Linked DNA regions of Lepisosteus oculatus. The protein of the gene in region 3 purifies or fractionates together with the protein of the main gene of each other region. This does not show direct contact. Links are inferred from orthologs where the notes say so. Each region holds a gene or a part of one and is shown on either strand. Other genes may lie near its edges. The genes, in order: fmr1, fxr1 and tdrd3.

Evidence for each region.
Region 1: the proteins of tdrd3 (region 3) and fmr1 purify together in Homo sapiens (affinity purification with mass spectrometry; 4 studies listed by BioGRID and IntAct, with this or other methods). This does not show direct contact. The link is inferred for Lepisosteus oculatus from reciprocal best matches to the Homo sapiens genes TDRD3 and FMR1.
Region 2: the proteins of tdrd3 (region 3) and fxr1 purify together in Homo sapiens (affinity purification with mass spectrometry; 3 studies listed by BioGRID and IntAct, with this or other methods). This does not show direct contact. The link is inferred for Lepisosteus oculatus from reciprocal best matches to the Homo sapiens genes TDRD3 and FXR1.

The regions. Positions count from the first base shown.
Region 1 is NC_090703.1:53,149,022-53,157,033, forward strand, and holds the start of fmr1 (fragile X messenger ribonucleoprotein 1), read left to right. Parts: upstream 1-4,794; 5' UTR 4,795-5,036; coding exon 5,037-5,087; intron 5,088-6,868; coding exon 6,869-6,921; intron 6,922-7,930; coding exon 7,931-8,012.
Region 2 is NC_090708.1:168,965-177,112, reverse strand, and holds the start of fxr1 (RNA-binding protein FXR1), read right to left. Parts: upstream 3,215-8,148; 5' UTR 3,157-3,214; coding exon 3,106-3,156; intron 359-3,105; coding exon 306-358; intron 1-305. UniProt on the Homo sapiens protein: mRNA-binding protein that acts as a regulator of mRNAs translation and/or stability, and which is required for various processes, such as neurogenesis, muscle development and spermatogenesis.
Region 3 is NC_090710.1:14,134,509-14,142,480, reverse strand, and holds the start of tdrd3 (tudor domain-containing protein 3), read left to right. Parts: upstream 1-4,814; 5' UTR 4,815-5,022; coding exon 5,023-5,060; intron 5,061-7,621; coding exon 7,622-7,706; intron 7,707-7,972. UniProt on the Homo sapiens protein: Scaffolding protein that specifically recognizes and binds dimethylarginine-containing proteins. Plays a role in the regulation of translation of target mRNAs by binding Arg/Gly-rich motifs (GAR) in dimethylarginine-containing proteins.

The DNA.
Region 1 (8,012 bases), on a different chromosome or scaffold from region 3:
GCATTAAAATTTCTGAAATTTCTGCATTGCTTTGTACAAAGACAACATGATGAGAATTTTTTATTGTGAAAGGTAACTGAAAGTACAATGCTCTTAACAAATTTCTACTTTAATCTTCTTCGTTCGCACAGAAACACCTAGAAAAGGTCAATAACCTCTCTGTAGTGATTAAATCAAGCTTTGGAAATGAAATTTTCCTTCAGCATTAGAACAGTTTATGAACACTCACCTTTGAAAAACACTGTATAAAAAAAATAAAATATAGAAAAGCATTAATTCATATATGTTGTAAAACTGTTTTTACATTTCTAGAAACACATCACTCTAAAAGGTGGCCCACCTTGTGCCTCCTGAGAGTTGGTTCAATCTTGTTCACTGACCCAGGCCTATCTTGGCAATGAGCAAGAGAGCCAAGTTACATTTAGTCTAATTCACACAGAGGAGCAATTAATGGTTCTACAACTTTTGAGAACATTTTAAACTGGCTGAAAATGCAAAAACTCAGTAAAGAGTTAAGAAACTGCAGCCCTCAAAAGATCATTAACTGTTTCAATGAATTCCCCAAAAATCATGCCTATCACAAGAAATAAATGAAGAAGAATTAAAATACCAAAAGTTATTTACCACAAGAGATGAATCATAATTATTTTGTACATAGATCCTCATGTTCTTCTTCCACAGGAGCTTCAACTGTGACATTCAGTAATTCCAGTAACTACGGCTTAAAGTCCTGTTAAAACAGGCATGTGCGTTGACAACCTAAGTATTGAGTTTATACAAATAATGTTATGCAAATTACTTTCCAAAAGCATCTTTTATTTCTTATGAGTAATAGAGATCTGTGCCTATTTCAATAGGTATTTGCTGCTGTTTATTAAACTGAGTGCAAAATAAACCCCCATTTATAGAATTAATGTTGTGGCAATAAGACACTTATTTCATATTAAGAAAGGGCTAATTCAGGTCTGTTGAAATTATATTAAACGTTTTGAGTAAATGTATTTCTCTTCAATTCTGCTCTTAAAAAATACAATAATAAAAGAAAAATCAAGAGATCCTTGCCGACTTATTTTCTGATGAGTTTATACTGACATCTAGTGATTGAAATGTGCAATTGAATCTTTCTTTATCACAGAAAACTAAACAGTCAAGTACAGGTTTATTCCAAGCTGAAAACAGAAGAAAAGAAACACCTGAAACCCAAAGAAGGCTCCCCATCTGAAACGTGTTTCTTTTCTTTTCTTTTCTTTTCTTTTCTTTTCTTTTCAGCATGGAATAAACCTTTACTTGTTCTTTTGCAGACTACGCATGCTGACACAGCTCCATACTTGAACTAGTTTAGAAAACTAAGAGTGCCTTATTGTCGTTTTGTTCTAGACATTGCATTGCATGGCTAAAACAATCATCAGCACTAGTTTTGGATTTTATTATTATCATTGTTGTTATTATTGTTATTTTAACAGGAAATGCACTCCATCCACCATTGAAGTACAACATCTGGATGACACACTACACTATAAAACTGTTTCACCAGTTGCAACGAGGGGAAAATTTGGGGAGTCCAGAGCAGGATCTAGAGATAAGATAAGGTCACTTTATTGGCCATATACAATTTTCTTGTATTAGGAATTTGTCTTTTTCACAGACCCCAGCTTGTTCCCCAGGAGACACACAGACAGGGAGAGAAGCTTGGGGTCAGAGCGGAGGGTCAGCCATTTATACAGCACCCCTGGAGCAGTTGGGGTTAAGGGCCTTGCTCAGCAGCCCAAGGGAGTAGGATTCCTCTGCCAGCCACAGGATTTGAACTGGCAGCCTTCCAGCCACAGGCGCAGATCCTGAGCCACAGTGCCACCGCACCGCCCACAATCTAGTAAAGCCATTGGGGTTAACACATCCATTCACACAAACAGCACCCTGGAATATGTCATGATAAAATAGTTAGGACCTCGGCTTAACGTTTAATCTGAGGGACGGCAATTCCTGCAGCACAGAGTCCCCAATTAAAACACTGTGGTTCTGGTCTGGAACTGTAGGTGCTGCTCCACCAGCTTCTGTACCACAGCTGGACAGCAGCTGTCTGGTTTCAATTCCAGTACTGACCAGCTCAGCCACTGAGCTCCAGAACTCTGGTGAGATCAGACTACAGGCTCATCATGCTGCTTGTGAAAAATGTATACTGTACGTCCCCTATAAAGAAATTATAAATTTAATCTAATATATTTAAGTGACAGACTAAAAAGTGAAAATGGGTATCAATTAAGTATTAATATTTCCCTTTAACATATATTTAGTAATTTGTCTGAGACATCAAGTTCACTAAAAAAAAACTTAGGAAGGGGAAAATAGTTATTTTTTCTCATTATGACAAAAAATATATATTTCTGTACATGAGTACTATATCATAAACATGTGCATTTACTTTACATCTGAAATGTAAAGATTAAAACATTTATTTTAAATTTGTGTTTCCCAGAATATTATATTTTCTTATTGTTTTAATTTAGAATTACTTTTATTTTTAAACCAACAGGCAAAAATCCAATGTTGTGCATCCAGCTAAAAACAATCATACTTTGTGAGTCATCCCAAAACAAGATTCTGTTGAATCATTTTAATATCAGCCATGGAGACAGAACACAAAATTGCAATACATTAAACATTAGTTCATTTATACGTCTTCCTATACTAAATATATATATATATACTATTTATTGGGGGAAAGTATGTATATATTCTAGATATACAGAGCATGGACATATATTAAGTACTTGTATGTGTCAGCTTCTTGCTGAAGAGTGGAAATCGAAGTCATAAGAGACACAGTCAGGTGCGCTCCAGGCTTGGCCAGGCAATAAATTACTCTGGTACATTCCAAGAAGTAACACATCTTGGAATGACAATAACTTACTTTCCCTTCTTGTTAAAAGCACGTACATTTATTGCCCCTTCTGGCAATGTAACATTTTCCCAGCGTGTGACACACTCAGCCCTCTACTGATATATTATTACCTACTCCACCAGGAGCGTGGCTTAGCTGCTCTGATGCTCACACCCTGGAGGCTGAAGCTGGAATAGTTCCTCCCCGTTCCAGATCCCTTATCTGAGAGATTGTGTGCTGCTGTTCAATTTGTATAACACTCTGTTCCGCTTCTTATTATAAACCATGTTCTGCTTATATCAGAAAAAAAAGATAACAATATGCCTGTTAATAAGTATGTTTAGTTGCTTGTGAATAATATTTAGTACATTTATTTTAAAAATGTTTTTATTTGTTGTTTAAGAGTTTATTTAAATATATTTTCTGTTCTTGGCAAATATATTTCTTTTTTGGATATTGCGGTAGTATTACTCTTCTAATTCAGACACATTTTGTTACTAAAGAAAATGCATTTATAGAACAAATGCACCATGACCTACAGTACCACAAGCAGGAGAGACTTTTGGAGGAGAAAATAAGTATGTCAGCTTGATTAAAAGTCTGCTGGCATATCGTGGGCAACACCATGCCTCCACTGAAAGGAAGCTGGATCAGACACAGGACAGCTTTGTGTCACTGTTCTCAAAACACTCCGAATTTAAAATTCAGTTTTGTTAGAGTCTGAGTGCAAGCTTCCTCACTGAACACAAAAGAGAGCAAGTCTTACCAAGCTTTCATTCATGCTCTCTTGTATTATCACTCTTGTCAATAATTGCCATTACAATATTCAAAATGCAAATGGTTTTATTATAGGAATAAGGAATATCGGTATTTTCCTTCTCCCCAGACTTTTCCGGTCTCCCCAGACTGCCCTGTCTCTCTCACACCTGAAGAAGGCTCCACGGCCAAAACGTTGTGTTCTCTTTCTTCTTTTTTTTCAGCATGGAATAAACCTATTACTTGTTCCTTTTCCTTCTCTATACATTTTAAAATCGACACAACAACAAAAGGCTCTATCTGTAGAGTTATATCTTGAGTTTTGTTGCGTAGTTTGGTTCTCCTTTTTGTTTTTAATTTAAGTAAAGATATTAATTTAATTCCAGTCCCTGTCTACATTTCTAATGCCCCATCTACAATGGGACAGGCAGCTTGTCCTGTTTTTTCTGTTTTCTAATGTCTTTTCACCCGTCACCTGCCGCAGGGCTCTCATGCTTTGTGAGTGGAGGCAGGCTGCATGCTCGCCTGTGCATGAGCTTTGTCTTCACAGCACATCCTCTGATGAGGACTGTGGGGAAGTTCATTCTAGTCACCCTGAAAGGTTTATTTTTAATCGTTAGGAAATCAGTATTGATTCCAGTGTAGGCATTGTACTTTACGGTAACTAAAAATCTACAACAATTAGGTTAAACGGATCCGAAAGCAAGAATGACATGTTTTAAATGCAGTGCACCTGGTCCCCTGTATCACAGTAATGCTGCTGCTCTCCCGCACGCGGGACGGGTCTCCCCAGACGCCGGGTTGTTGTGAATGGGACACACCCAACTAAAAATTATCATTGCCATAGCAACCGTCGGCCAGCAAGGCCTCCCTCGTGAGTCAAAGTATTGGAGAGGGGACGTCTGGTCAGTGTTCTCAGCTTTAATTGGCTGGGTTTCGGACGGTGGAGCGTTCCGTAATCTGATTGGTTCCTAACGTTGTCGGGTTTGCCCTCAGTTGAAGGAAGCCATGAAACTGGCGCCATTTTGACTCCATTCAAGAGCGACATGACGTAACTGTGAAACGGGAATAGAGTCAAAATGGCGACCCGAAGGGACTCAGTTTCTTTGCTCGGATGGGAACGAGGGGAAGACGTGCATCCCCGGAGCGCTCCCTGATCACGTGTCGGGGGCGAGGGGGGGCTCTTGTGTTTACATCAATGCGCTTAGGAGCAGCTGGTGCGAACTGTGCGAAGAAAAGATATGAATGTTTCACTTTCATTTCTTTAGAAAAAGTGGGGAGAAAAACACTCTTGGTTTCGCAGCAGTGAGAGGCAGACTGACGGAGAAGGAGAGCTGCAGGGGGGGCGTTTCTAGGGACCGAAGCGACCCGCTCGCCGTTTTTGCATTTAATTGCAACAGTCATGGAAGAGTTAGCTGTGGAGGTCCGAGGAACAAGTGGAGCCTTTTATAAGGTAGGGAGATTAGCAAAGGCCTGGTCCGCGCTAGCGGCTGCTTTGTTGTCATTTTTAACTCAGCTGGCGCTTGCTGGCGATCGTGCAAAGGTGCGGGCCAGTGGGGTCCTCTGTGTTGCACTCACATCTCAAACACCCGTGTAGGCCCTGATCCGGCAGAGCTGTGGATGCTAGACCTCAGACAAGGCCCGTCTCTCCCGCTGTTTATCGCCAGGCGCACTCAGGATGGACGTTTTTGCAGCCCTTTTTCTGCAAAAGGGGGATTTAAGTTACAAAATCGGACTCATTCCCCCCAGCCAGTCCTCCCATTCCAGGGCGCTGAGCTGATGGTGTTTAGTCGCTTCAACGGAGCGCAGAAACCCCTCGACGTGTCGTTCATTATTTCCACCTTATAATGATGCAGTATTTCATGCGTGTGGAGTCCATCACATTTTACTCACGGCTTCATTTATTTAAGTTTCACTCTTTATTTGCCGCTTTGTTACTTTTCATGTTACAATGTGGGGGAGTTGAATCAAGTTATTTTTCTAAAAGTAAAGTGTCAGTAGTGCAACAGCTTGGACTACAACCGGTATAAGATCATTTATCTTTGTAATGCAGTTTCAACAATGCATGATTTATTTAATATACACCACATCATGCATTTACTGTGTCTGCATGAAAATGTGCTGGTGTTTTAAAGGCGTCTCTTCTGTAACATGTGCATCGCACCTACGTCTGTTGGTGAAGCCACGCTCTAAATCGGCGACTTTAGCTCCATGCTCTGCTTCTGTTAACTAAAGAGTTTTAAAGAGAGTGAACTGCAGTAGTTGCCTTTTTGCCAGTGGTGTCCACGCTAATCCATAGGAATGAGAACTCGAATACCAGCGCGGCAGCTGCATTAGGCTTTAAGAGCCGCAGGGGCTGCAGTGTGGAGTGGATGTGGAATTGTCTCCTGTCGCTCACACTTGACGCTCGCTCACACGCAATACATGCACGTTAACGTTATAAGTCAGAACTGAGCTTCTGGCGTGTTTTTAATTGAATTCTCATGCTTTTCTGTTGGTGCTTGATAGAAACGACTGTACTGTTATTGTTGCGAGCAGCGGTTGTAACCCGTGGTTAAATGGTTTTCTGGGGGCCAGGGAATAAAAGGAAGCTAAAAAAACTTTTCTCTCTCTAATATAAAGTTTTCAGAGTTTCACAATTGTTGAACCACTAATATTAAAGTATTTTCTGTAGTATATCTTCTTGATATATCAGTTCATGATAAAACAAAGGCAAAAGAAGACCACTGTCCCAATACACATAGGCTGTCAGTTTTCAGCAGAGCATGTCAAGACACTGTAAAGCTGTTACATTGCTACATTTATAAATTTCAATAATCTGATAACTGATGTTGATACAATGATGCTTATACATATAGAGCAGTGGTATCTTAATTATCATGTCATGCTGTAAAAATGATATAGAGCATATATATTTTTACTTTTCATATCTGTATGCAACATTGTCCTACAACAAATTTAAAAAAAAATGTACAAAGAAAGTATTAGTGCTTTAGTCCAGTGGTAAGACACAGAGGAGCCTTGTCTTTTGATTGAATGTCAATATTGGTGAAACTATTTCCTGAGAATGCTGTTAATTAAAAAGATGGTGTGTTGTCATAACTATTATCAATACAGTTTCATCTTAAGGGGTGTAGTGGTAGAAGTCTAAAAACATTTTTAAAACCAAAGAAACCTCAGTGGACAAATTTGTGAAACCCATTTTTTAACCAGCGATGAAATGTCTTCTTTCAGGCATTTGTGAAGGATGTGCATGATGATTCTGTCACGGTGACATTTGAAAATAAGTAAGTAATCTGTAGTTTCACAGTGCCACTTTGGTGTAGCTGTCATGTGTGGAATGAAGACATCTTCATCTTAGATGCAGAGGAATGTACTGAAAGGCACAATTTATCTGGAGATTTTCTAAAAACAATTATCCATATGCTTTAGTATCCCAATGTGTTAAAGGCAGTTTTTGCATCCTAACACAGCAACAGGATAAAGCTTGTGTAAATTGTTTTGTTATGAATGTGTTTGTCAGTAATGTGTATAAAAGTTTTAAATTCAGTGTTCAATGTGAGGAAAAATAATAATAAAATACTTGACTATTTTTATCAAGATTTAAGAAAGGTCTGTATTTGCAACATATGTGCACTGCTAGGATTGTTAAATTAGTTCTACCTGTGAATTTGTTTAGCTACTTTCATTTAACTACATTCTATAAAAATCTTTTGTGTTTTGTGCCCAATTTTTTTTGTTTTAATTGTATACTACATGCTTAAACACAAAATTCATGTTGATTTCTGAACCTGCATGTTAACTGATGTTTCTTTTGAGTTTTTAGTGACGTGTCTGTATTCTATTGCTGATTGAGTAATGCAAACACCAGTATTTTATTCTGTAACAACAGCAAAACTGTAAAGTAGAGCAAATGAACAAAATTCTTTGTATAAAGTATTTAGTTTAATGCACTTAGTACTTACAAACTATTTACTTAGTGTAATAACATAGGCATACATGCATGCTGTTGTTCCATTTATTCTGCAAAGGATAACTGTACAGGCTTTGTTTTCTCTTTTCTTTTATCATTATCTTCACACTGAGTTTGCAATTGGAATTCTCAAGAGAATCCAGCCATGTATAGAAAGAACACCTGTATTCTTAAGTTTTCCAGTGCATAAACGATGCCTCTTGAACACCTGTTTATGAGGTTACAGTTTTTCAAAGTGTGCCTTGAGCAAGTGCATTGGTTATTATGCACGTATGCCAGTCTGCCTGCAATTTAATGGATTGCCCTGCTTTTGTTTCTTTCAGTTGGCAACCAGAGAGACAGATTCCTTTCCACGATGTTCGGTTTCCCCCTCCTTCAGGGTTTCAGAAAGAAATAAATGAGAGT
Region 2 (8,148 bases), on a different chromosome or scaffold from region 3:
ATACATCTTTCAGACACATATTTCTTTCATTATTTTTATATAAAGCATAATGTACATTCAAATCAGTTATCATGACAGGTTCCAACAAGTAGCCCCTGCCAGAATCCGATCCAGAAAGCACATTCTGAGGTGCTTGCAAATGCAGAAGGCAGTATTTATATTCCACAAAGCAAAATTGAGAAGCATGAAAATGAGCCACTTCCAGCTTGATCAATCCTGAGCTTCCTGTCTTGAATTCTTCCCAAAGCAGCTTGGTTATGATTTTTTTTTTAAACCCAACACGAAATTACTGTTAAAATACTTACTTATTTTCAAAGACAATGGTAAGTGAGTCATCATGGACATCTTTGACAAATCCCTAAAACATAAGTAAGGAATTCAAGTTACATCTTAATGACATTTTCCAGATTTATCCTAACTGCCTTCAGTTATTGTTAGTCATCCAATGTGCATACCCACGCAATACTATTTTAATGTACAAAATGTAATAGAATGTGTTTACATTTGATGTTTAAAGTTAACTGATATTAATACTTTTTAAACAAACTTTTTAAACGCCTTGGAAAAAGCAGACAAACTCATTATTTAAACTCATTATTTGTCTTAGACCTTAAAACTAAAACTGACCCAGTTAAATGTATAATTAGTTCAATAACCTTACCAAAATCCCCCATAGTAGACTCTAAGGAACAGAATTAAAGACCACTGCTGTACACTACTGAAGTAAATGACAGTTTAGATCCAGTTCCTTGACAGTTTTTCCAATTATGTCAACCTTCTAAACCAATGTGTTTATAGATGGTTCTCTAAGGCAGCACAAAAAGCATTATAAAAATGTGTTTAAACATATTTCATTACAACACTGGAGAAAGGAGCCTGTACAGATGTTATGTAAATGTCTAAATAGAATACATGAAGAAACAAATGTCTGAAATCACATATCTACTGTTGACAACAGTTTATCATTTTCTTCAATAGAAGAAACATATTTTACATGAAACAAGAATCACATCATTTAATGAGATACTTAAGAGATGCTTTTGCTTTGTGTTAGAGAAGGATTTGCATACCCACACAAGTACAAAGGGCAAAGTGGTGCTGGTTAACAGCATGACTGCTAAAGGACAAATTCCAGAGACTAACACCACTAAACTCTTCTCATTAATTCTCTCCAAAAACTATTTTTTTCTTTTCCATCTGTCATAGCTTTTTTATTTTACTTATGTAAGCACTACATGATATTACATTATATAATTATATTATACATTACATTATATTTTATAATAATCTGATTGTGAAAATGTTCTACTTTGAAACTACATAAACTGCTGTTTTTTTCACTATATTCAGATATTGTTTAAGTCATACTGTAATAAGTCATTACTTTACCTACAGAAAGTTAAAAAAAGAAAACATAACAGAAATATTTGCGTTTAGTAAAAAGCATCTGTCTTTTGCATAACTAGCTATGTGTAAGCCCATGTTTTAAATATAGCTCAGAGTTCCAAGTTATCCTTTGAACCTGACAACAGCTCAAGATTGACAGTGAACAGCTGTCAGACCACATATTGCTCTGGGATTGAGTGACATTCTAGGAATAACTTCAGCATGATACAATAACTACTTAATACTATTAACAGATGTATTTTCCTACCATGGACTGAACAAGTTAGTTCAACAGACAGTAACAGCTGTCAATACCTAAACATCTAGTAATCACACATCTTAGTGCTTATGTACAACAAAATTAAAAAGGAAAAGGAAATTAAGAAATGTAAAAGGCACAAAGTATTACATTTAGAGTATAAGCCTGATTTTTTTAAGGAGTCGACAGTACAATAATCTACTTGTTACATATAAGATACAAAAGTGATGCAAGTCAAACGCAACAGTGAAATGACATGCAGAAGAAGCAAACAGAGAGCTCACAATCAAAGACACCGCTAAACTAAACACTGCATTTTCATATGAACACAGGAGATAGTTTTCAAGTCACATAAAGACAAACTCTTCAGTGAATTTAACTGCATGCAGTGCCACATATTTTATAAACCAGGCCTCCAATCTTAAATAATTGCTTACACTTATATAGCGCTTTTCTGGACACTCCACTCAAACTGCTTTACAGGTAATGGGGATCCCCTCCACCACCCCCAGTGTGCAGTAAATGACATTCCCTTCAACTTCCATTCTTACGACAAGGGAGATTCCTTTGTATTAGAATCAGAACGGGTTCTTCTGCTTCAAGTGCTTATCATAATCAGTTCCCCTAACAACAGTTAGACCCAACCTAAACACATATCAGTCGTTAGACCTGTCACGCTTTATTTCAGAAATACGAAAAGGCCCTTATTAAAAAGATTCGGCACATCTAAGAGCTGGATTATAAAAACAAAAATATAGTTACGTTATTGACAGCTACTGTTTAGTAGACTTTGGCATATTAACAAGACTAATGGAACAAAGGAATGGAAATGTCCTTTTCCCATCATCGTGCAAATGAAGGGAATGAGATACACGGACGCTTCAGGTGCGTCTCTCAACACATTTGAATCTTCCTGCACTTTTATAAAACTTCTCTTAAACTCACCAGACCTCCAGGCTGAGCAAGTCAACGGATTCAGTACTTACAAATCCCACAGTGACTGCTGATCGTGTTCCACTCATTTTGTATAAAATATTAAAAACTATGCCCACCATTAAAACATCAAAGATCTTGTCAACATGAATAACGTAACAATATAACGAACAATATTAATCCTTATTAAATAACACCTGAGATAGGCCTGTATTAACAAGGGAAAGAATATATCAGTCCAAAAAAGTTCAAATATTTAAGTTTACAAATATATATCTCCAGACTGAATACATAATATGGGTTATCAAACTCTAGAATATAAAAATGCATATATACGTGAGTATGTAAATAAATCATAATGTAACTGACAAAAGATCAGACATTTTTGTGTCCTCGTCAAAGGCACTTTCTTACAGATTTATTTAGCAAGAACAATCCCGTGAAAACAACCTGTACATTTCCGTACACAAAGCTTTCTTCTCCTTTTTAGATAATTTATTTTATCGGAATGATTTGAATGTTTTTACCTTGTAATAAGCTCCGTTGGAGCCACGGACTTCTACCGTCAGTTCCTCCATATTGGCCACGCAATGTACTCTGGGAAAGCATTCTAGAAACTTACACCGTCACAGAGCACCGTGCGTCTGCAGAGTGGAGTGTACATACGGAGCACATCACTGCACAACATGTATACACACAGTACATAACTGCACAGAGCACATCATTGCACAGCATGTACACACACAGTACATCACTGCAATCATGTATACACACAGTACATCACTGCACAGAGCACACCACTGCAAGCACGTATACACACAGTACATCACTGCAATCATGTATACACACAGTACATCACTGCACAGAGCACACCACTGCAAGCACGTATACACACAGTACATCACTGCACAGAGTACACCACTGCACAGCATGCACACACACAGTACATCACTGCACAGAGCACATCATTGCACAGCATGTACACACACAGTACATCACTGCACAGAGTACACCACTGCAAGCATGTATACACACAGTACATTACTGCACAGAATGTAAACACACAGTACATCACTGCAGAGAGTACAACGCTGCTCAACATGTATACACACAGTACATCACTGCACAGAGCACACCACTGCAAGCACGTATACACACAGTACATCACTGCAATCATGTATACACACAGTACATCACTGCAAAGAGTACACCACTGCACAGCATGCACACACACAGTACATCACTGCACAGAGTACACCACTATTACTATATACTATTATAGACTATTTACATCTATATTGGGTGAACCACATAGGAATCACAGTCCTTTTTATACAGTACATAAGCCCCGCCATTTTAGGGGACCAAAAGTAATTGGACAATTAGCTGCTCAGTTGTTTCTTGGCCAGCCGTGTGTCATTGCAATGTTAGTTCATGCACAAGAGAGCTGAAAAAGGGTCTAGAGTTAATTCTAGATGTGGCATTTGCATCTGGAGTCTGTTGCTCCAGATGCAAAAGAGGACCAAAGAAGTGTCAATGCCAGTGAAGTTGACCATCATGTGGCTGAAAAATCAGAATAAATCAATCGGAGACATAGCCCAGACATTAGGTGTGTCAAACTCATCTAGTACATTAAGAAGCAAGAACGCACTGGTGAGCTTAGCAAATGACCTGGTAGACCACAGAAGACCACAGTAGTGGATGGCTGAAGAAGACTTTCAATTGTAAAGAAAAAACCCTTTTCGACCATTGAACAGATCAGGAACACCCTCCAGGATGTAGGCATGGATGTGTCAAAGACTATACCATAAAGAGAAAAATACACCAGCATAACCTCAGAGGGTTCACAAGATGCAATCCACTGTAAGCTTCAAGAACAGAAAGGCCAGGTTACAGTTTGCTAAAATGCAAATAATAAAGTCAGTAGAGTTCTGGGACACAGTCTTACACAGTCTAGACGAAGATTAACCTGTACCAGAGTGAAGGAAATAAGTGTGGAGAAAAAAAGGATCTGCTCATACCACCTCATCTGTGAAACATGAAGGTAGTGTCATGGGTTGGGCATGTACCGTATGGCTGCCAGTGGACCTGGCTCACTTGTCTTTATTGATGATGTGACTGCAGACAGCAGCAGCAGGATGAATTCTGAAGTGTACAGAGGGATCTTATTTGCTCAGATCCAACCAAATGCCTCAAACCTCATTGGACGGCATTTCACCTTGCAGCAGGACAATGACTCCAAACATCCTGCTAAAGCAACTATGGAGTTTTTCAGGGCCAAAAAGTGGAATGTTCTCGACTGGCCAAGTCAATCACCTGACCTGAATCCCATTGAGCCTGCATTTCACTTATTGAAGACGTGACTGAAGGCAAAAAACAAGCAGAAACTGAAAATGGCTGCATTACAGGCTTGGCAGAGCATCACCAGGGAAGAAACCATGTGTCTGCTGATGTCTGTGGCTTGCAGACTTCAGGCAGTCATCGATTGCAAAGGATTTGGAACGAAGTACTAAACATGACAATTTTAAGATTATGTTAATGTGTCCAATTACTTTTGGTCCCCTAAAATGGGGGGAGTATGTATAAAAAGGACTGTGATTCCTATGTGGTTCACCCAATATAGACTTAAATACCCTCAAATTAAAGCTGACATTCTGCACTTTAACAAAATCCAATGTACTGGAGTACAGAGCCAAAACAACAAAAAACGTTTCACTATCCAGATATTTACGGACTGCACTGTACTGTATATACACAGTACATCACTGCACAGTATATAAACACACAGTACATTACTAAACAGCATGTATACAGATAGTAAAACACTGCACACTTTATAACACTACACAGCATGCTTTATACACACAGAACAACACTGTATAGAGTACATCACTGCTTAGTGTATATATAGACACAGTACATTACTGCACAGTACGTAAACACACACTACAACACTTGTGTACCTTTTCGCACTGTGTAATGAAAATGGCTGCACATCACTGCACAGTATATCTACACAGTACAACAATATGCAATGTACAGTATATTCACAGTAAAAAACTGCACAGCATACCTCACTGTTCAATGTGTATGCACAAAGTAAAACACTTCTCAGAGTAAATCTCCGCACAGTGCATATACATACAGTACAACAATGCACAATGCAGTCTTCACAAAGAAATATACCCACAATACTGTACAGTACTGCACGATGTACTGTACATACAGAGTACATCCATGTACAGTACAATAAATACTTATTATAACACTGAACAAGTACTATATACACCACACAGCACAGTACTACGCAGTATGTACTGTATACTCACCGTACAGCTTACGGTACACTTTAGCATAGTACAAACTGAATACTACAGGACTACACAGTATAGCACTGCACTGTTCTGTGTATATAATACCTGTATAAATAATTACAAACCTGAAGAATGCTCCACAGCCGGAAAGTTCTGTTTCTTTTCTTTCCATTCAGCGTGGAATAAACCTTTACCCGTTCCTGTACATGCGATATGATGATTTTTCTTTTTACATCATTTTAGGAGATTAGTTTTTCAAAGACGTTGCGATTGATAAATGGAACACCGGGGAACTTATTATATGTCCTAATTTTATTGTAAATATGATCGAATAAAACAAGTTTAATGGAATATACATTATTATTTTTTATTCAGGTGCTTTCACGTTCTTTAACGATTATTATTGCGCCGACAAACACAAAAGCGAATGGAAGTGCTGCCACCTGTCGTGCATGGTAAATATTACAGCGGAATTCAGCTAACGTGATTAAATGGTCAAATTATTCCAACACCGGTCTGTGAATGCTTTATGATCTTAGAAAACCCGTGTCAAAATTAGTTTATATAGGATACAAAAAAAAATAAAAAAGATTTTACTATTATTAATTATGTTTACATTAACTAAAAAATAATAACCTCTAAGTGATTACTGGACTGCAGGTAAATATAAAATATAAAAACCATATCTGAGAGCAGTGAAAAGCAAATTTAGTTAAATGCATCTTGTGTTTAGATTATGGATTTCAGACTTATTAAGTATTATTGCCATAGCAATATCTTAAAATTCAAACACTGTTGTCAATTTTAATAGTAAAATGATGTACTTTCTTTTTTTCCTTGATTTATTGGAATAAAGTCAGTACTTTACAACCAGTGAGTGTGAAGACTTTGTTAATGCAGCATCTTATGCCTATTAATGGTAAATCTGCTTCTCTCAAATTCCATTGTGCTTTAGGAGTCAGGGACAGCCTAATGGGTCCTCTTTCTACTGAAGACGCTGTGCAACTGAGGAAGGTGCATATTTTGTTACTTCAGTTTCTTCTAATAACTTAAAAGTTTTTAAAGCACAGCAGAGGTGTCATTCACAGTTCCTCACTAAATAGTACACCATGGAATACATTACTGTTAAATATAAGATAATTTAAAAACTCATTAGTGAGTATTGTAACTTATAGCATCTTAATGCCTCTGAGCATAAACATACTTTAAACAAACAAATAGTGAAGTGCTATAAAACCAGAGAATAGTCTTAACAGTGGCAATTGTAAGTGTGACACATCACTTAATAAAGTCTTCTACATACTTTCATATGCCCCTACTAATATGGTAGCACTTGCACTCTGTGGTCTTTTCTCAAGATGTTAACACTGCTAACTATCTGTTTGGTTCAGTGGCTTCTTGCAGGCCTGGCTGTTTTCTATCTTTCAACCCCAGTCAGCTTTGAGGCTATCTGAACTGAAACGTGAGCCAGGTCTGCCCCTGCCCTTAGTAATGCACCAACAATAATACCTTTTAAATCTGGGCTCTTATATCAGCTTGCTTAGTGGAGCACACCAACAGAGATGATGTCACTTTAGACTCTACAGAATTCACTGCACATAGGATGTGCTGGATCACTCCCACTACTCTAGACAGGTTGGGTCACTCCTATACTCCTATTTTATGTAGTGCAACACACCAGTTTCTAATATTTTGGAATGGAGTTGTGAATACAGCATATATATATATTTGAAGACCCTAAATCACATCAATAAGAAATGCATAGCACGGGAAACGTCTCAAAGGCCATTATCATACCAGAAGTTATGGCCAAGCACAACATCCTCACTCTCACATTTAAACCAGTTTACAGAGTCTATTATGCTAAGCCTGAACACCAGTGATAGTGATGAATGATTATAAAATACAGTAATCTTCCATGGTACCACCACTGCAATATGACAGGAAAATTTCATTTATCCCACTAGTATTTTTTTCTTATTTAAGGAAGAAATTACTGGTCTAGTAATCAGATATATAGTAGAGCTGTTCTCTGAGTTAAGCCACTTCTATTTGAATTTCATCTTCCCTAGCATTTCAGAAAATACACATGGATACAGAAACGGTGTCTTTGACAGCTGTTACTGCAACTTTGTAATAGAACATTTTATCATTGAAAACCTTAGTTTTTTAGTATTGTCCAATCAAAATTATTCTGTTTCTAGAATCACTCATTGTAGGTTTGTCATTGTAAGTTTATTTTAGCATAGTATATAG
Region 3 (7,972 bases):
TAGTAAGCCAGGGTCTTTCTTGATTCACTGTAACACGTCAACCCTCTCTCTCTGGTTCGAGGCCGTGTTCCCTGTTAAAGAGACATGATTTAAAGATAGGCAGGTTGGAGGAGTCTGCCTACTCTTTCTCATTCTCCACTGTACTCTATTTACTGTAGTGTATGTGTACATCTGTGAACAGAGGAAAACTATATCAATAATTGTAAAGGTTTATGGTGGCAAAAACATTTACACAGATTTTGGGAATGTTTTATACCTGTATTACTAAAATATCAATATACTTAATATTCTACATAAATGTAGAATAGAATCCTCTACTGTATAATAATTTCTTTTTAATAACAAAACTCTAATACTGACCATAGCCTGAAACATACCCATAACCCCAGGGTTATCTGCAGATGCAGATGCAGATCCATATTTAAAACTTTATAATCAATTAAATTTCATTAGAAAGTGCCATTTCACACCATGTATATCTCAATGTTATACAACAACATATAAAAACACATTATAAGCAGATTAAAAAGGAAGAAAATATTAAAATATGAAAGACTATAGTTAAAAGATTGTACACAACAATTAAATATTTAACAATATTTGCAGACAGTTTAAAACTGAGTTTCAAAAATATCCTTGTTTAATGAGTGGTTATTGTGACAGTGTTCGATCCTCATTATCTCCAGTATTCAATATTCAAGTTCAATATTTATTGAAAATAGAAACAACAATTAAATATGACAACAGAGAGGGTTCTGTTTATAAAATGTATTTTCAATACTAAATCTAAATTAATGTTCTTCTGAAAATAGGGACTAAATGCAGAAACATTTCAGATAAAAAGTTTGATTTTTTCCTTCTTAAAAAGGTAGTTGAATTTAGGTTCTTTGAGTGTTCATGGTTCTTTGTCACTCAGACAGAATTTAGTTGGAATAAAAACTCACATGTGCAAAGTTTCTCCAGGACCAGGTTTCAGAATCACTGTCATAGTGCTATGATATTAAATTAACCTTCTTCATGTCCCTTGTGAATTCATTATTTCTGATTTACAGTTTTCAATTGTATCTGTTTAATGCTAATAGATTATTACTTTCTTTTTAAGCGGCAACAAAAACTAAAAATATGTTAATAATGACCAGTTCATGATGAAAAGATACAGGCAAGAATAACAATGTACAGTACCAGACAATCCCACAGTAAATAAGTGCTTTTGCTTCTGCTTAAATCCAATTGATCACATTTCAGTTAACACACCTAAATGAGGGCAGATGTGAAGCTTAATAATTAGTAGATGATTGATCAAATTTATAAATCTCAATCAACCATTTAAGAGTTGAAAACAAAAGGGGTTTAAAAAATAAAAATTGAAATAAATTAACCTGTGACTAAGAACTAACCTAGAGAAAAAACAGAAGATAAAGCAGTCCCCAAGGACCAGGACTGAGAGATACTGCACTACATAATGAAAGTTCTTCGATTCTTCATCCAGTACAGCTCAATCTCTTGCACTTACTGTTTTCTAGCTGTCAGACTGCATACAAATTAGACTGCATTACAGCTTTATATGTTAACTATCAATCTAAAACAGCCACTAATTGTGTTGCTGTCAAATAGTTGAAAATAGTCCTAGTTCATTTTGATTGTCCTATTTAGCCCTTCCGTTACTTTGAGATTAATTTTTAAGTTGGTCATATTTAGGAATGCATAGATGGTAGAATCACAAAAAAAAAACACTAAATGATCTCGTTAAGTTTTATATTATTGTGGCTGAAGAGGACAGCCATGTTTCAGCAACCACAGCAAAATTTGCACTTACTGGTCTGATTGCTTACTCAGAAGGTTTGGAACAATTATTATTGCTGTATTTTTGCTGTCCTTGGGTCACAGATCCAAGAAAACATGGAGGAAGATACAGACAATTAGAGAGTGATCCTCAGGTTAATTAACTTCACTGTAAATCATTCGTACTTCCATATTAAAGAATAAACATTCCACGGTGAACATTCCTAGGAAGATCATTAAGATAACCTCCAGAGGAATGAACCATAGCATAAATAAACAGAGACAGAGGAAAGGACAAAGAAAAAAGAAAAGCAGACCTCATTACTTCATAATCATTAATGCTCATCATCTTCAAAGCTGAGCAAAGGGAGATATCCGTTTTCTAAGACATCCTGGAACCATTTGTAGTCCAGGTAATCTGAGTACTATAAAGAGTACCTGATAGGAGCATTATTACAAGAAAGCTTGCTCTTAATTGAAACCTGTGAACACCTCTGATTTCCCGAATGCTATCCTTGGTTCACCCCTTGTTCAAGACTGGTCATCTTCAACAGCTGACCTAGTCAGTAATTTTCGCACTGCGCTGACTAGTACTTTGGATAAACTTGACTTCCTTTAAACTCACTTAGTTTGCTTTAAGCATTCTCTCCATGGTATACACATGAACTTTGCTCTTTGAAACTGTCTGGATGGCATCTGGCCCCCTTAAATAAAAAGACAGCCTAGTGGTTCACACTCAGGCATGAAATAAACACATAATGTACATGTCTGTAGATCTGCTCTAGTTCCTGCCAGCTCATCCTACAGTACATTTTGGATACAATTAGCTCTGGACTATGAAATCATAAAGTGTTCTTTTTGTTATTAACAAGCTCATTAAATCCCTGACAATTCAGCTCTTTCTTCCATCCTTGGCCTCTGTTTTAGGTTTTTGCAATTTTTGCAAACATTTCTAACATCAAGGCTAGATTTCTGTAACTCCTTACTCTATCAGCTCCCTAACACTTTTCTCAATAAGTTTTAATATGTCCAAAACTCTGCAGCTAGATTTCTAACTCACCACAGACCCTGGCAGTATATCACTATTACACTTAAATCTCTCCATTGCGTACCTATAAACTCACATATCCATTATAAGATCTTGTTACTGACTTTGAAGGTTTTAGATAATCTGGCTCCATGATACTGTACATCTCCGAATTCCTTCATGTTTACACTCCCTCAGGCTTCATTCAGTTGAGGTTGGTCCTTTGCTCACTGTACCTAGGAGTAAATTTCTGACATTTGGTGACCACGCCTTTTCTTTTGCTGCTCCATTGTTGTGGAATGTGCTTCCTCCAACTCTTCAAAAGACAAATTAATTGACACTCTGCAAATCTAAACTTACTAACAGTTTATCCTGTATGTTCTTGGTTCATGTTCTTTTATTACGTTTTATACTATTTTTTCTTTTTCTTCTTTATCACTATGTATAGCAAAGGTATATTACAATCACAGCAGCAGCATGTCACAACATCACCTCCAGAAACGTCTATGGAGATCTACTAATAAACCACTACCAAGATATGGGATATTCAGTGAAATTTTAGTGAAATCATCTCTCTGTCCCTTTGGTTCCATGTCTTATTGCAAGCTGAATTGTACTTCCTGTTTGTGTTTTGTTACCAACCAGCCTGTAAACCTGAAACTGTCTGAATTGATAAATCAGCAATGCATTTTGTTGCTTTCAACAATGCACCAGAGACACATACAATTCCAGTCTTGCCACTTGTAAAGTCATTCACATCAGCCATCTTTGTCTTAGCACAACATATAAGGAAAGTGCTGGGCTGCTACTGCTTTACACTTCAGGAATCATGGGGGATACTGAATACTGAGCCATTTCCACTACAATGGATGTGATTGATTTCTTCTATGGAATATACAGTTCTCTAATATTTTGGAAAAAATTATGAAAGTGTTTTCAAATGTAGATGTAATTTTAGTCTTGATAGACCAGGATTTTAGTTTTATGTTTTTGTGCAAACTAAATCAATTAAAATACGAATTGGCATGGGAATGGAAAAATGAAACCTCTCATGTGTACACAGCAGTATGACTTTTTTATTTTACTAACAGCAAACTACCTTATTTTTACAGTAACCTAAATAAATACCATTTACCTGGTATACCTTGTTCACTATACTAATATAGCTATAGTAGAATGCACATTTTTAAACAGCTCCCTACTCCTTTTAATTTGATTTCTTATTCATATTAAATCAAATAAGCGTAACCCTAATTATGAAGAATTATAAAAAAAACACGTGCATATTTTAAGATTTTTAAATGACAACTTTGGGGAAAAGCCAAACAAATTATGTAAGATTTGAATTAATAAAATATATAGCCACACCCATTGTTAGGGAAAGATACTTAAAAAATAATGCATTACTGTTACAATTTTGTAAGGGATAACTTTTCATATTCATGTTTTAGGAAAATGCTTACAGATAGGTATTACATTTGTTTACGTAGTAACTATACCATGCTACATAGACCAAACTTTAAAAATATATATTACCTCAACATCTTGTCTATTTTTAAAAAAGTAATTATTTGCACAGGAATTTTGTAATTTAATAACACTTTTTCCAATACCGGCAACACATACACTTTATTTGAGAAGAAATATGTTTTACTTTAAAAAAACTAGTTACTGTATGGGTAATTGTTACTTAAGTCTCTCTGTAGGCTTTGAAATATATTCATGAAAAACTGAAAATCTTAAGACGTCCCACTTTTCCTGTATTTTTGCTCTAAGCCGAATACTGCGGTATTTCTTCAATAGCTGTTAAACAAAGGTAATCGGTTGTAATACGCAGGATAAAATCCAGAATTGACTTTAAAGATAGAAGTGTTTTTTTTCGTCAAAAAATATAAGAAGGAATTGCATAAAGGCTCTACTTATTCCACAAACAGAGATGGCGCTCTCTTGACTTCACCCATGAAAATCTACGTCACTAATCACGCAATGACCTTTCATCCCTGAACTTCAACCTTCGTCATTCTACTGTGGTTGTAGTTATTTTTTGTTGCATCGCGTAGATGACTTATTTTAATGTAAATATAAAACGTATTTTATGCAGTCAAAAAGTTTAACATCATTTAGGGGTCTTCCAAAGACTATATCAAACTGACGGAAAGTAGTGTTAAAAAGATCTGCAGTAAAATTTACTTAACACCCGTGTGTGTGGAAAAATGGCTGATATCAGCTCGGCTCTGTCCAAAGAAGGCTGGTAGGTAGCTCGTTTTCCCTTGTAAATTCCTAAATAAAATCCCTTTTCCAATTAAGAAAACAATAGAGGCATTTATTAAGTCTTTCTTTCAAGTAGAATAAATATTTAATTTATAAGAATCTTTTTTGTTGCTTATGCTCACTTTGGTAACGTGTAGGCCTAGAGGTGTTTCATTCTTGAAGAACAATCGATAACTTTTCAACTGCAGTTTGTATGAAAAGAAAACCCAAATAAGAATTTTATTTGATTTTGTGTCGTTATATGCATGTGCTTCATGTTCAACTTTAATGTGTGATATTATTTGTTCAGTTATTTTCCACTTTGTTGTTGGAAACAACCGTCAAACATCGGATACGTATCACTAGAATTTAACAACAAAGCAGTGGTAAATACTTGTATGATCATGTTTTCTAGCGATTGATTTCCGTTCATTTTTGATTTAAGAGAATCTCCAATACATTCACTTATTTGTTACCAAAAGATTAGTCGATGCATTATTTTGGTTATTTTAAAACATAGCGTTAGTGTTCCTTTGACTCTGCTATTAAGTTATTACATTTATGGTTGTTGAGGTATTTTACAAAAAAAAAACTTTTCACGGATGGTCACAGAATGTAGCTGAAGAATTGTTCAGTTCTTTCCAGAATTATTGGTATTATTTTCATTTTTTTTTTCACACGTAAAACGGTAATGATGTGGTCTTTATATCATTTATTTATTGTAAACGTGAGCTAGTTTTTGAACCTTCACTTGACTTCGTTATGCTAACAGTATATACAACTTCTATGACCCCGATTTTTGTGAAATCCATATAGTTGTTGAAGAATTTCTCTGCTCATCAAACTTTTGGTGGTAAGTTATTTGTCAATCACATTATAAAGAAAATAAGATTTATAATAATAATAATAATAAACTTTATTTTATATAGCGCCTTTAAAGGTGGCTTCTCAAAGCGCTTTACAGGATGACAATAACAATAAATAAGAAGACTACAACAATAAATAAGAAAATTTCACAAGACAGGACACAATTATAATTACAACAATACAACAATAACAATAGAGGAGACCGTGGAAGATGGTATTAAGAAGAGCAGAGGGGTGAAGAATGGAACCAGTTAAGTAAAGGCTTTTCTGAAAAGGAGGGTTTTGAGTCTGGATTTGAAGGAGTTTAGAGAAGGTGACTCTCTAATATCCTTGGGCAAGGAGTTCCAGAGCTTGGGGGCATAGCAGGAGAAGGCCCTGTCGCCCATACAATGTAGACGGGCTTGGGGGACAGTAAGGAGGGCAGAATTTGAAGAGCGGAGGTTGCGAGGTGGGGAGTAGGGCGATAAAAGTTCAGACAGGTATTGAGGTGCCAAGCCATGTAAAGCCTTGTAGGTGAGCATGAGGATTTTAAAGTCTACGCGGAATTTGACCGGAAGCCAGTGCAAGGACTCCAGGATAGGAGTAATGTGAACACTTGCACTAGATCTGGTCAGGATTCTGGCTCCTGAATTTTGGACATACTGCATGGTAGAGTCACATAAAACGGTGGTGTTTTTCAAATTAGTCTCGTTTCCTTTGCCGTTTTGAATAAATCTTGACGTATTTTTAATTGTGAAATTAGCTGGGAGTATTTAAAGGACCTCCCATTGCAAAAATGCCTTTGGAACACATGAGGTGCCTTTATCGTAGCTTTATTTTGCAGCATTTTTGTAGAAAATAAACGGATCATTTTTTCCAACATACAACTGTTACATAATTAAGTCATGTATAATAGAAAAGTTAGAATACCTTATGTTTTGTTAAGATGTCAAAATTGTAGTCGTTGATTTCATGCTGTTCTTTATTCTCTAAACTGATTACACTTTTAATAAAGGTTGATACTACTGTTGCATGGTTGTTTAACACATTCTGACTTTTAGGATTTACTCACAAATCTTTCTTTTTACTGAATTTTATAAGAAGAAATGTGACATGTACATGGCAGTTGGACTGTTATGTTTTGAGGATATAAACCTGATCTCATACAGAAATCATTTCATGTTTCTTTATGAAATGAGAACTTCTGAATATTTTGCAGATTTAAGTACATCTAAAATCACTAACAGTTTACTCCCACTAGGTGATGCTACTGTAATTCCTTATGTAGAACTAATTGGATACTGGAAAATGATTGTGTAGATTGGAGAAAAATGTATTAAAGAGGTTTAGACATGTTTGGAAATGTTATGAATCAGCTGGAGAAGGTTTTCCTTTTCATAAGCTGATTGATCATTCTGATGATTTGTGAATCTTTTTTATTTTCTTTATTTTTTGTACTACTCAGGTGTTTTAACATTCAAAACAAGTGATCTTTTTGCATTTAAATATGTTTTGATTATTTTGCCAGGGTGACAATTGTGAAAATAGTGCTCACTATTAAACAAGTGACCAGCCTTTTTAAGGTGTTTATACTACTTTAAAAGTAACATCTTCAAACAAATGGAGTTTTACTGAAATTGCCATTATGGAAACATTGAGAATAAAACCTTATTTGGAAACTGAGGTATTATTTTTTTTTCTTTTGTTCCCTTACAGGTATCTTTCTGATGAAGGAATAGAAGCCTGCAAAAATTCTTGTGAAAATCCTTCCATTAATGACATAATCCGTATCGCATTAAATGTAGGTTTGTTTTACACCTAGTGTATCAGTGTTTTCCTCCTGCTAGAGAGAATAACACATGCTTCTGAGTTTTTATCTACAAATAGCTTTCATTGGACTGCAAGTGTGTTTCATTAATAACCCTGAGAACTCTGGTCTGAGGTTTGACTGTGGCACTACTTGACTTTAGTCTGAGCTCCTAAAGGATGGAACAAAAAACATGTAAACATTTGCAAGTCTGCTGTAGAATCTTTAGCTTGCCAAACATCCGTGACCACTGTTGCTAA